2 linked regions of the Tribolium castaneum genome follow. The protein of the gene in region 2 purifies or fractionates together with the protein of the main gene of each other region. This does not show direct contact. Links are inferred from orthologs where the notes say so. Each region holds a gene or a part of one and is shown on either strand. Other genes may lie near its edges. The genes, in order: CstF50 and toll-interacting protein.

Evidence for each region.
Region 1: the proteins of toll-interacting protein (region 2) and CstF50 purify together in Homo sapiens (co-immunoprecipitation; 3 studies listed by BioGRID and IntAct, with this or other methods). This does not show direct contact. The link is inferred for Tribolium castaneum from reciprocal best matches to the Homo sapiens genes TOLLIP and CSTF1.

The regions. Positions count from the first base shown.
Region 1 is NC_087398.1:3,468,404-3,472,400, reverse strand, and holds CstF50 (cleavage stimulation factor subunit 1), read right to left. Parts: upstream 2,423-3,997; 5' UTR 2,297-2,422; coding exon 2,211-2,296; intron 2,164-2,210; coding exon 1,587-2,163; intron 1,530-1,586; coding exon 879-1,529; 3' UTR 717-878; downstream 1-716. Other genes in the region: TM9SF4 (transmembrane 9 superfamily member 4), read right to left, coding at 1-47, 100-488, 536-547; zinc finger protein 346, read left to right, coding at 3,290-3,361, 3,405-3,576, 3,620-3,762; Pink1 (serine/threonine-protein kinase Pink1, mitochondrial), read right to left, coding at 3,995-3,997. UniProt on the Homo sapiens protein: One of the multiple factors required for polyadenylation and 3'-end cleavage of mammalian pre-mRNAs. May be responsible for the interaction of CSTF with other factors to form a stable complex on the pre-mRNA.
Region 2 is NC_087402.1:9,089,260-9,092,963, forward strand, and holds toll-interacting protein, read right to left. Parts: upstream 1,885-3,704; 5' UTR 1,772-1,884; coding exon 1,727-1,771; intron 1,680-1,726; coding exon 1,381-1,679; intron 1,334-1,380; coding exon 877-1,333; 3' UTR 503-876; downstream 1-502. Other genes in the region: mediator of RNA polymerase II transcription subunit 25, read left to right, coding at 2,165-2,286, 3,594-3,704. UniProt on the Homo sapiens protein: Component of the signaling pathway of IL-1 and Toll-like receptors. Inhibits cell activation by microbial products. Recruits IRAK1 to the IL-1 receptor complex. Inhibits IRAK1 phosphorylation and kinase activity.

The sequences.
Region 1 (3,997 bases), on a different chromosome or scaffold from region 2:
TCTCGGGGTTCAAAACAGGCGTAGCAGCCGGGAGATTGTCCACTAGTCTGGAAACACGTTTTAGGAACACAGTCATAGAAAAAATTAGTGCGGACGTACAAATGCACGAAGTACTCGTGTTGGATCCGATCCACCACAATCTGGGACTCCCCCACGCTCCAATTAATCGGATTTTTGGGGGTATTACACAACAGCGTACAGGGCGTATTCACTGCCATTTTCACGTCGTACGGCGTGTTGACAATCCTGTCACCCCTTAGTACTTCCCCGAGGTTCTCCGATTTGTAGTGTATCGCGTTTAGACCACCTTTAGGTAAACAAAACGGAAGAGAGTAATACTCGTACGGCAATTGCGTGTGGATACTCGTCATTTTCACAGCCTTGACTTCGATCGGATCACCGGCTTTGAAATCAGCCGGTGCCATCCCCGGAACATAAAACGAATAACATCTCGAAACACAGAAACTTATCACAAACAGAAAAAATTGCTAAAAAAGTAAGGTTAGGTCACGTCACTAAACTACCACCCAAATACCGTGCAATTCATTTTGGCGCCACGTAACCGGTGAAATGTGGTAATTCTCAACGTCTGAAATGCTAAAATAGTGTAATAATCATTGTTAATCAATTTAAAACCGTGCCATTAACGCCAATCAACCACCAAAAGTTGTGACAAACGTCAACTGCACAACTGGTTGCCCACACAAACAAAATCATCCTTTTTATCTCTTTATTAACACAAAAATTGCCGCAAATTGTTGTCTCACAACATGGAACGTAATGTTACGCGCAGCCTTAATTAGTTATAATTAAAAAATAAGATTAAAATAAAAAATGCCCGCGCATTATTGGTTGCCTATACAAGAAAGTAACACTTTTTATAATGTTGGGGTTCTTCTGTACCAAAACCTGGCCCGAAAATCGTCCGAGCAGGTCAGAAAGGCGGCCTGCGTGGGGCTGTGCGCTATGAGTCTAACCGCCCCATTGTGTCCCAAAGACATCAACTGCTTCCTTGAAGCATTCCTCGAATTCCAGGCACACAAAGACGTCGTTGCCTCGTCAGGAAACAGGACGTAATCCTCAGTGTGATTAAAAACAGCCTGAGCCTCATATTCCTGCTTTCCGGTCGTCCCAGCTCCCGTATAAGCAATCAAACACCGGCTTGTTGTCAGTTCCCACAATTTGCAAATTGAGTTTTTCCCCGACGATAACAAATATTTGCCGTTTTTCGAAAATACGACCGAACAGACTTCAAGTCCGTCGTGTGCTTTCTGAAACGTGTTTATGCAACGGTTCGAGACCGCGTCCCAAAGTTTAATATTGCCGTCTTTGCTACAAGTGGCAAAAACTCGCGCGTCTTGCGACCATTTGAGACAAGTGACGCTCTGGGTGTGTTGGTGGGAGGGGAAAGCACAGACGTAGCATTGGAGGGTATTGACGTCATACAGTCGGACGACGGGGTGGTTGGTGGCGACGATCATGTGGTCGCCCCCGGGGTGGAAAGACATGGCTCTGATTGGTTCCGACTCCTGGAAATATTTTATTTTTATTAAAAAAGGGTGCTTGATCCTGAATTTTTAACGTACAGATATTGTTTTAAACGCCTTCTTGACGCTGGCTTTCGAGATATCAAACATCTTAATCGTGTTGTCCTTCGACCCTGACACCAAAATGGGCTCCTTAGGGTGGAACTCCAGACAAGTGACCTCCTCCATGTGGTCATACAGCGTCCTAATGACAGGATGCCCCTGTTGTTCGCCCCTTGAGGGATCCATCTCGTCCGGCGCCGACTTGGCCAACATTCTATCAACATCCAGAATCTTAATACTAGCGTCCACACTCCCTGTTGCAATTAATTGCCCATCACTTGAAAAACACCCAGCACGACAATTCCCTTTATGTGACGTCACGTACGCAGTTTCATACAATGCGGGTTCGGGCGCTGGGATATTTGACTCAGTCTCAAATTCGAGATCAAGCCCCGGACCGATATTATTGTTCCCTATGCCGGGGTTTTGGGGTCTCTCCTTACGGTCAGGCTCATGTTCTAACCCGGCCATGACAATATGAAAAAGACGGTCACTGGGGGCACACGGAGGGTCCGCTTGGACTGCGGCCGTGAGATTAGTGCCGATGCTTTGGTGGCCGTCATAGAAGAGTTGGCTTGAAGGGAAAAATTTAGGTTAGGTTGCCGGTTTTGGGTGTTTTACCTAATAATGAGGCGGTAGAGGAACTCGCGACTCTTGAGGAGGTTCGTCGTGTCCACGTCTTCGTCCTTAATGCTTGAGTTAGTCATTTTATTGAGGTTTTTTAAATATTCCCTTTAACAACAAATGCGACCCAAACAAATCTAGAGGTTTCGGATTTGTTACATTGGTAGTTTGCTGTAGTAAAAAATTATTTTTTTTGACCAAAACTCGATAAAAAAATTAAATTCGAGTATTTGGAATGTAACGTATTACTATTTACCTTGATTTAGTTGCTTGGAAGGCAACAAATTATTTGTGAAAATTTCTTTAGGGATATTTTTTGCGTTGGCAAAAAGGAGGCAATTTAAAATTAGCCTTGAATTTTTTCAATGAAAGAAGGAACGTAAAAAAACTACGACTGAAATGCTGAATTCGAAACCTTTATTGAAAAACTCGATAGGCACAAAAATCGTTATTCAGTAAGAGCCATGGAATCGCCGTCTCCGGACCTCCTGCTGCCCAGGTCGTCCGTAGTTGAGGGTTCCGTTTCAGTGGAGATGTCCGGAGTCGAAGCCATGGCAGCTGAAACTTTTAAATTTAGATAAAATTTCCGTTTTTTGTCGTTTCTCACCTAAATCGCCCCCATCCATCAACAATCTGTTGAACTTGGCCCAATAATCGACTCTCAAAAAGTGCAAAATCTTCACAAACTCTTCGACTTGCAGTTCAGGGACCCTCACAATATCTCCGTAGATCAGGCGTACGACTTTTCTCATCACATCCTGGCTGAACTCTTCTAAAGTAATTTCCCTGATGGCTACCTGGTTCTCCAACAACTGGCGAAAATAGAGGCTTCGGGTCATTAAAATAAGTTTATGAACGCACACACTGCCGTGGGCGCAGAGAATCTCAAAATCGAACAATTCTCGACTGAGAGGATCGTCAAAATGGAAATTTTGGACTTGAGCACCGTCGGCGTAAAGACCTGCGTTCATCTTGACCGGCTTTGAAACACTGACGAGGTCGAGGAAGATAAAGTCGGAAAAAAAGTTTGAAAAAGTCAGGTGATAGCGTTTGCGGCGGCATGCGAACGTGCGAAAATGTCCGAATTCCATAATTCGATCGAAGAAGTGCAATTAAACGAGAAAAATGAAGAAAACAGCGATAAAAATGTGAGCCAGTTTGAGGGAAGCAAATTAGTGATTGATTTTTTAGGCCCTTTCGTGCGAATTATGTAATGTTAAAGTCACCAGTGTGAAGATCCTTCAGCGCCATTTGGAAGGGCGAAGGCACAAAATGAAGGAAGAGAGACAAGGAAAAACATTCGTTTGTGAATTGTGCGATGTCGTCGCAAACAGCGAAATTCAGCTAAACATCCACTTGAACAGTAAGTCAAATGTTGAGTTTCGAAATGATGAGAGACGTTACAGGCATCAAACACAAGAACAAGCTGATGAAAAAAGAAAACTTCATTTCGGACGCGACAGGAACCGCTGGCTTGTGGATCTTACTCTTCTGTGTCGTTTGTATTTTTATTAACTTATTGTTGTTGTTTAAAGTGATTTGCCAGTAATTTTGTTCATTGTTACCAAATTTCTATTACCATTAAATTGTTGAACGATTGAAACGACTTTTCTTAAACCCAAATATATATTTCAGTGAGTAATAGCAGTAATGTACAAATCAAGTGTTTTTATTTCTATAAAACCGAATCTATAGAAAGAAACACTAACCATAATCACAATCTAGCAGTCTCATGTGTCTAACTAAAACAGCCCTCGACCTCGCAATAAATAGCCTTAAGTTTA
Region 2 (3,704 bases):
TTGGCACGGCCTGTTTGGGGTTGGCGAAGCGATTCAAGAACACTTAAAAATCTCATTTGCGTTGTTTAATCTCGAGGCAAAGAAAGATTTAATCAAATTTAGCAACGCAGTTGCTGGACTTCTCAATACTTTGGTGCCAAAATACGGTATTGTTGTTGTAAACGTTTTTGCAAGCGAATTGAAAAATTCTTTGGCCTCGTTTTTGCGTTGTTACGGCGACTGGAATGAAGATTTTTACAAGTTTTGTTTGAATTTACTGGAAAATTGGAAAGACCTAACAATTTATTTATTGGTTATTAAACTTTTGCCCAGTAAAGAGCCGTCACAAGACCAAACCAAAGCCATGTTCAAGGAAATTGTTGATCGACTCAAGCAAGTTCCCGATGAATCTATTCAACTGTTAATGAATCTTTATATAACAAATATGGAGTAGAACTAAGAATTTATGCTTTTGATGGTATTTTGATAACATTGTTAGAGGATATTGAATAAAGTAACTAAATACAATTATTGTTGTTTATTCTGCGACAACAACGATTAAACATAACATGGTAGATAAAATATGAGTAACAATGAGTTGGAATTACGGAGGACTGAATCACTCAATTTTCTATACCAAATAAATAAAGTCGGTTTCGTATTAATTTAACTCAACCCCTTCCCAAAACTTTTAGCCCCCCGTAGTTGGAATTAACAATGGAAATGTTCAAGTAGAAATCGTTAAAAATTAAAATTGCACGATAAGCAAACCAAAAAGCATGGCTAAATTTTGGCACTTGATGAGTTAAAAAATGACAAAAAATGGAATTTTAAAAAGCTACGACTAGAATCCGCAACTAAAGTTTAATTATGGCGTAAATGAGATTACTGATTGATTTATTCAGCCATTTGAAGTAACGAATTAATGGTACCGTCTTTATTGCCCCTGTTGGCCTCAAACACGGTCTTAATCACCTCTTTATCGATATTTGGAAACATTTCCTCGATTTGTTTGAGCTCGGATTCACTCAAAGCAGGCGCGGCTTCAGTAGGAGGCGCTGTAAACACCTTCAAGGGTGTGACATTGCCCCCTGTTACGTTGGGCACCACCATAACAGGCGCCGGTGGTTGATATTTATATGAAGGGAACACTAGATAACTTAACACGAGATTAATCATTCCTTCGACACCTTCACCCTGTTTCCCATTTAATGGGTACCAATCCTCGTGGGTTTCCCCTGCAAGTACCTGTTGGGGGATCTGGAACTGCGTCCAGGCGATGAGTTCGTCCATCGTAAATGAGCGTTCGTCGAAAATTTCTAACGTTATGGTATTAATACCTTGAGGCAACAAACTGGAAATGGAAAAGTAGGGACTTGCTAGTTTTTGAGATGTGTTTACCAGTGAATAACTTTGTTCCATCGCGGGTTTTTGCCGCCGTTCGGGTCCGTATGCGTCTCGTAAACGCAATGCCCGACCCGAATCCGAGCGTAGGGGTCCATTCTGGTCATTCCGTAATTTTTTGCGAGCTTAGCTTGAGCAACAGTGATACTGAGCCTCCCAACGACATTTGTGTACTGTTGGCCACCGCTTAGCTGGTGGTGCAGTGCTATGGCTGTTTGGCGATCCGCTGCCTCTTGTTGTTGCTGAACCGAGGTGCTGATACGGAGAAAATCCTCCGGGAGGGGACCAAGGAGGACCTAAATTTCGGCATTAAAGCACGATTTTTTAAATCATTGGCACCTACCCGACTTCGCCTTTCTCTGACTTTGTCCGTTAGCGCCGATGCCATGGTGTTACACTATTTCAGATAAAGTAAAGACGCATTAATTCACTGTTTGCGGTGTTTGATGACAAATAATCAGCTGTTCACGGCAGACGTCAACACGCCTGACACTAGGGGAAAAAATATAATCCCAGTCTGGGATTAAATTTTATTAGTTTCTGGCGAAAATAGCCAGGTAGTTTTGGTTAAATGCAATCTACTAATAATTCTATTCAATTGATTAGTTTTCCAGACAACATTTTTGCATAATTTGGCTAAAATAAAATTTCATCTGAATGAAAGTGTTGCCATTAACTTGACGTAACATCCCTAAAAATTTGACAGGTATTTTCAATATGGCGGGGTTTGGTGCTTGTATTAAATTGTTTCATTAAAATTGTTTAATATTTTGACTAAACAATGGTTGTGTGTCCAGCTGATCATGGCTTACACGCCGATATCGTTTTTGTTATCGAGGGAACTGCAGTGAATGGTGCTTATATAAATGACCTAAAAACCAATTATATCATCCCTTCGTTAGAGTAAGTTTACTTTTTTTTGTAACTTCTGATGTATTACATGTTTTTCTCTACTACTGCTAAATTGTTTTTATTGCCTATTTGGCTTTACAGTCCTACTTGAAGTTATTTGATATTCTAGATATTCTTTACCTTTCCCAATTTTCTTTTGCACCCGTCACTTTTTTCATCCATTCTTTTCCCTTACCATTTTCGTTTAAAACTTTTTTTCGTATCAAACTTGCACACTCTTACCTCCACAAACTGTGACACTCTCCGCTTAATCTGCACACTGTTTCCCAATCTTCTCTCCAATATTCGTTCTCGCTTTCATTTCTACGTCTAAATCTGGCTATGATTTTCTTATCTTTACTTTACATCTTCCTTAAGTATGAGAGGAGTTCATCCGTCAATAAGCACGGCATATTTTACGTATTACACCTCGATTCTTTTTTCCATGTTATTCTTTCCTGCCTATCTATGTCCAAATCTCTCAATTTCAGTTCCTCTTCCATTGTTCGTCCCCTTTCTCTTATTCTTTTAATTTCTATACACACTTATTCCTTCTTCTCATAGGAGTCTTTTCGTCCTTTCCATCTAACATTTTCATTTGCTTTTTTGATTTCTGTTCAACACTGTTGCATTCACGCAGAATTCTTAATTTCTCTTCAAATCCCACCGCTCTCTTTCCTTAATCTACTCTTAATTTTTTTCTCTTCCTTTTTTTACTATGTACTCTGGCATTTGTTTATTTAGCCTGTTCGATCTCGTATTTCTTCCATCCCCACACTTCTGCTCAAAATAGTCCCTACATTACAGTGCTTTTCCCTAAGCTATTATTTTTCTCTTGAAATTTTCACTAAATTTACGTTCTCCCAAGCTTCAAACATTTCCTAAAACCCCATTTGTTTTTTTTTGCTGCTTCTTTTATATGGGCTGTGTCTGACATCTTGCTACTTATTACTCTCTTCTAACTGAAATAGTGAAGATTGACTAAAATAATACAGTACATATCTGATTCAGATACTTCAAGTCTTTCACTTGTTCTATATTTTTCCTTCCCATTGCCATTCATCCTCTTTTCCGAATTCCCATACTACTTTTCTTTCCAAATATCATCATTTTTGTTGTATCTACATCTACATTTCCAATCTTTTATTTCTCTGTTTTTTCTCGTGATGAATTCTGAACGGATAGTTGAACAAGGTTTGAGGTACTGAGAAATCAGTGTAACCTTGCTTTGTTATGATAAAAATTACACCCTGATACGAAAAAGTAGTAGTAGTAGTTTTTAATTGGAGAATATGTTCTTGTAACTGAGGGACTTTTAGATATTTTAGTCAGGGGAGTATTGATGAGAGCAACTTCCTATCAGAAGGGATTAATTCTTATTACGGAATTGTGGTGTATCAGGCTGCTGATTGCTTACCGCACCCCAGTAG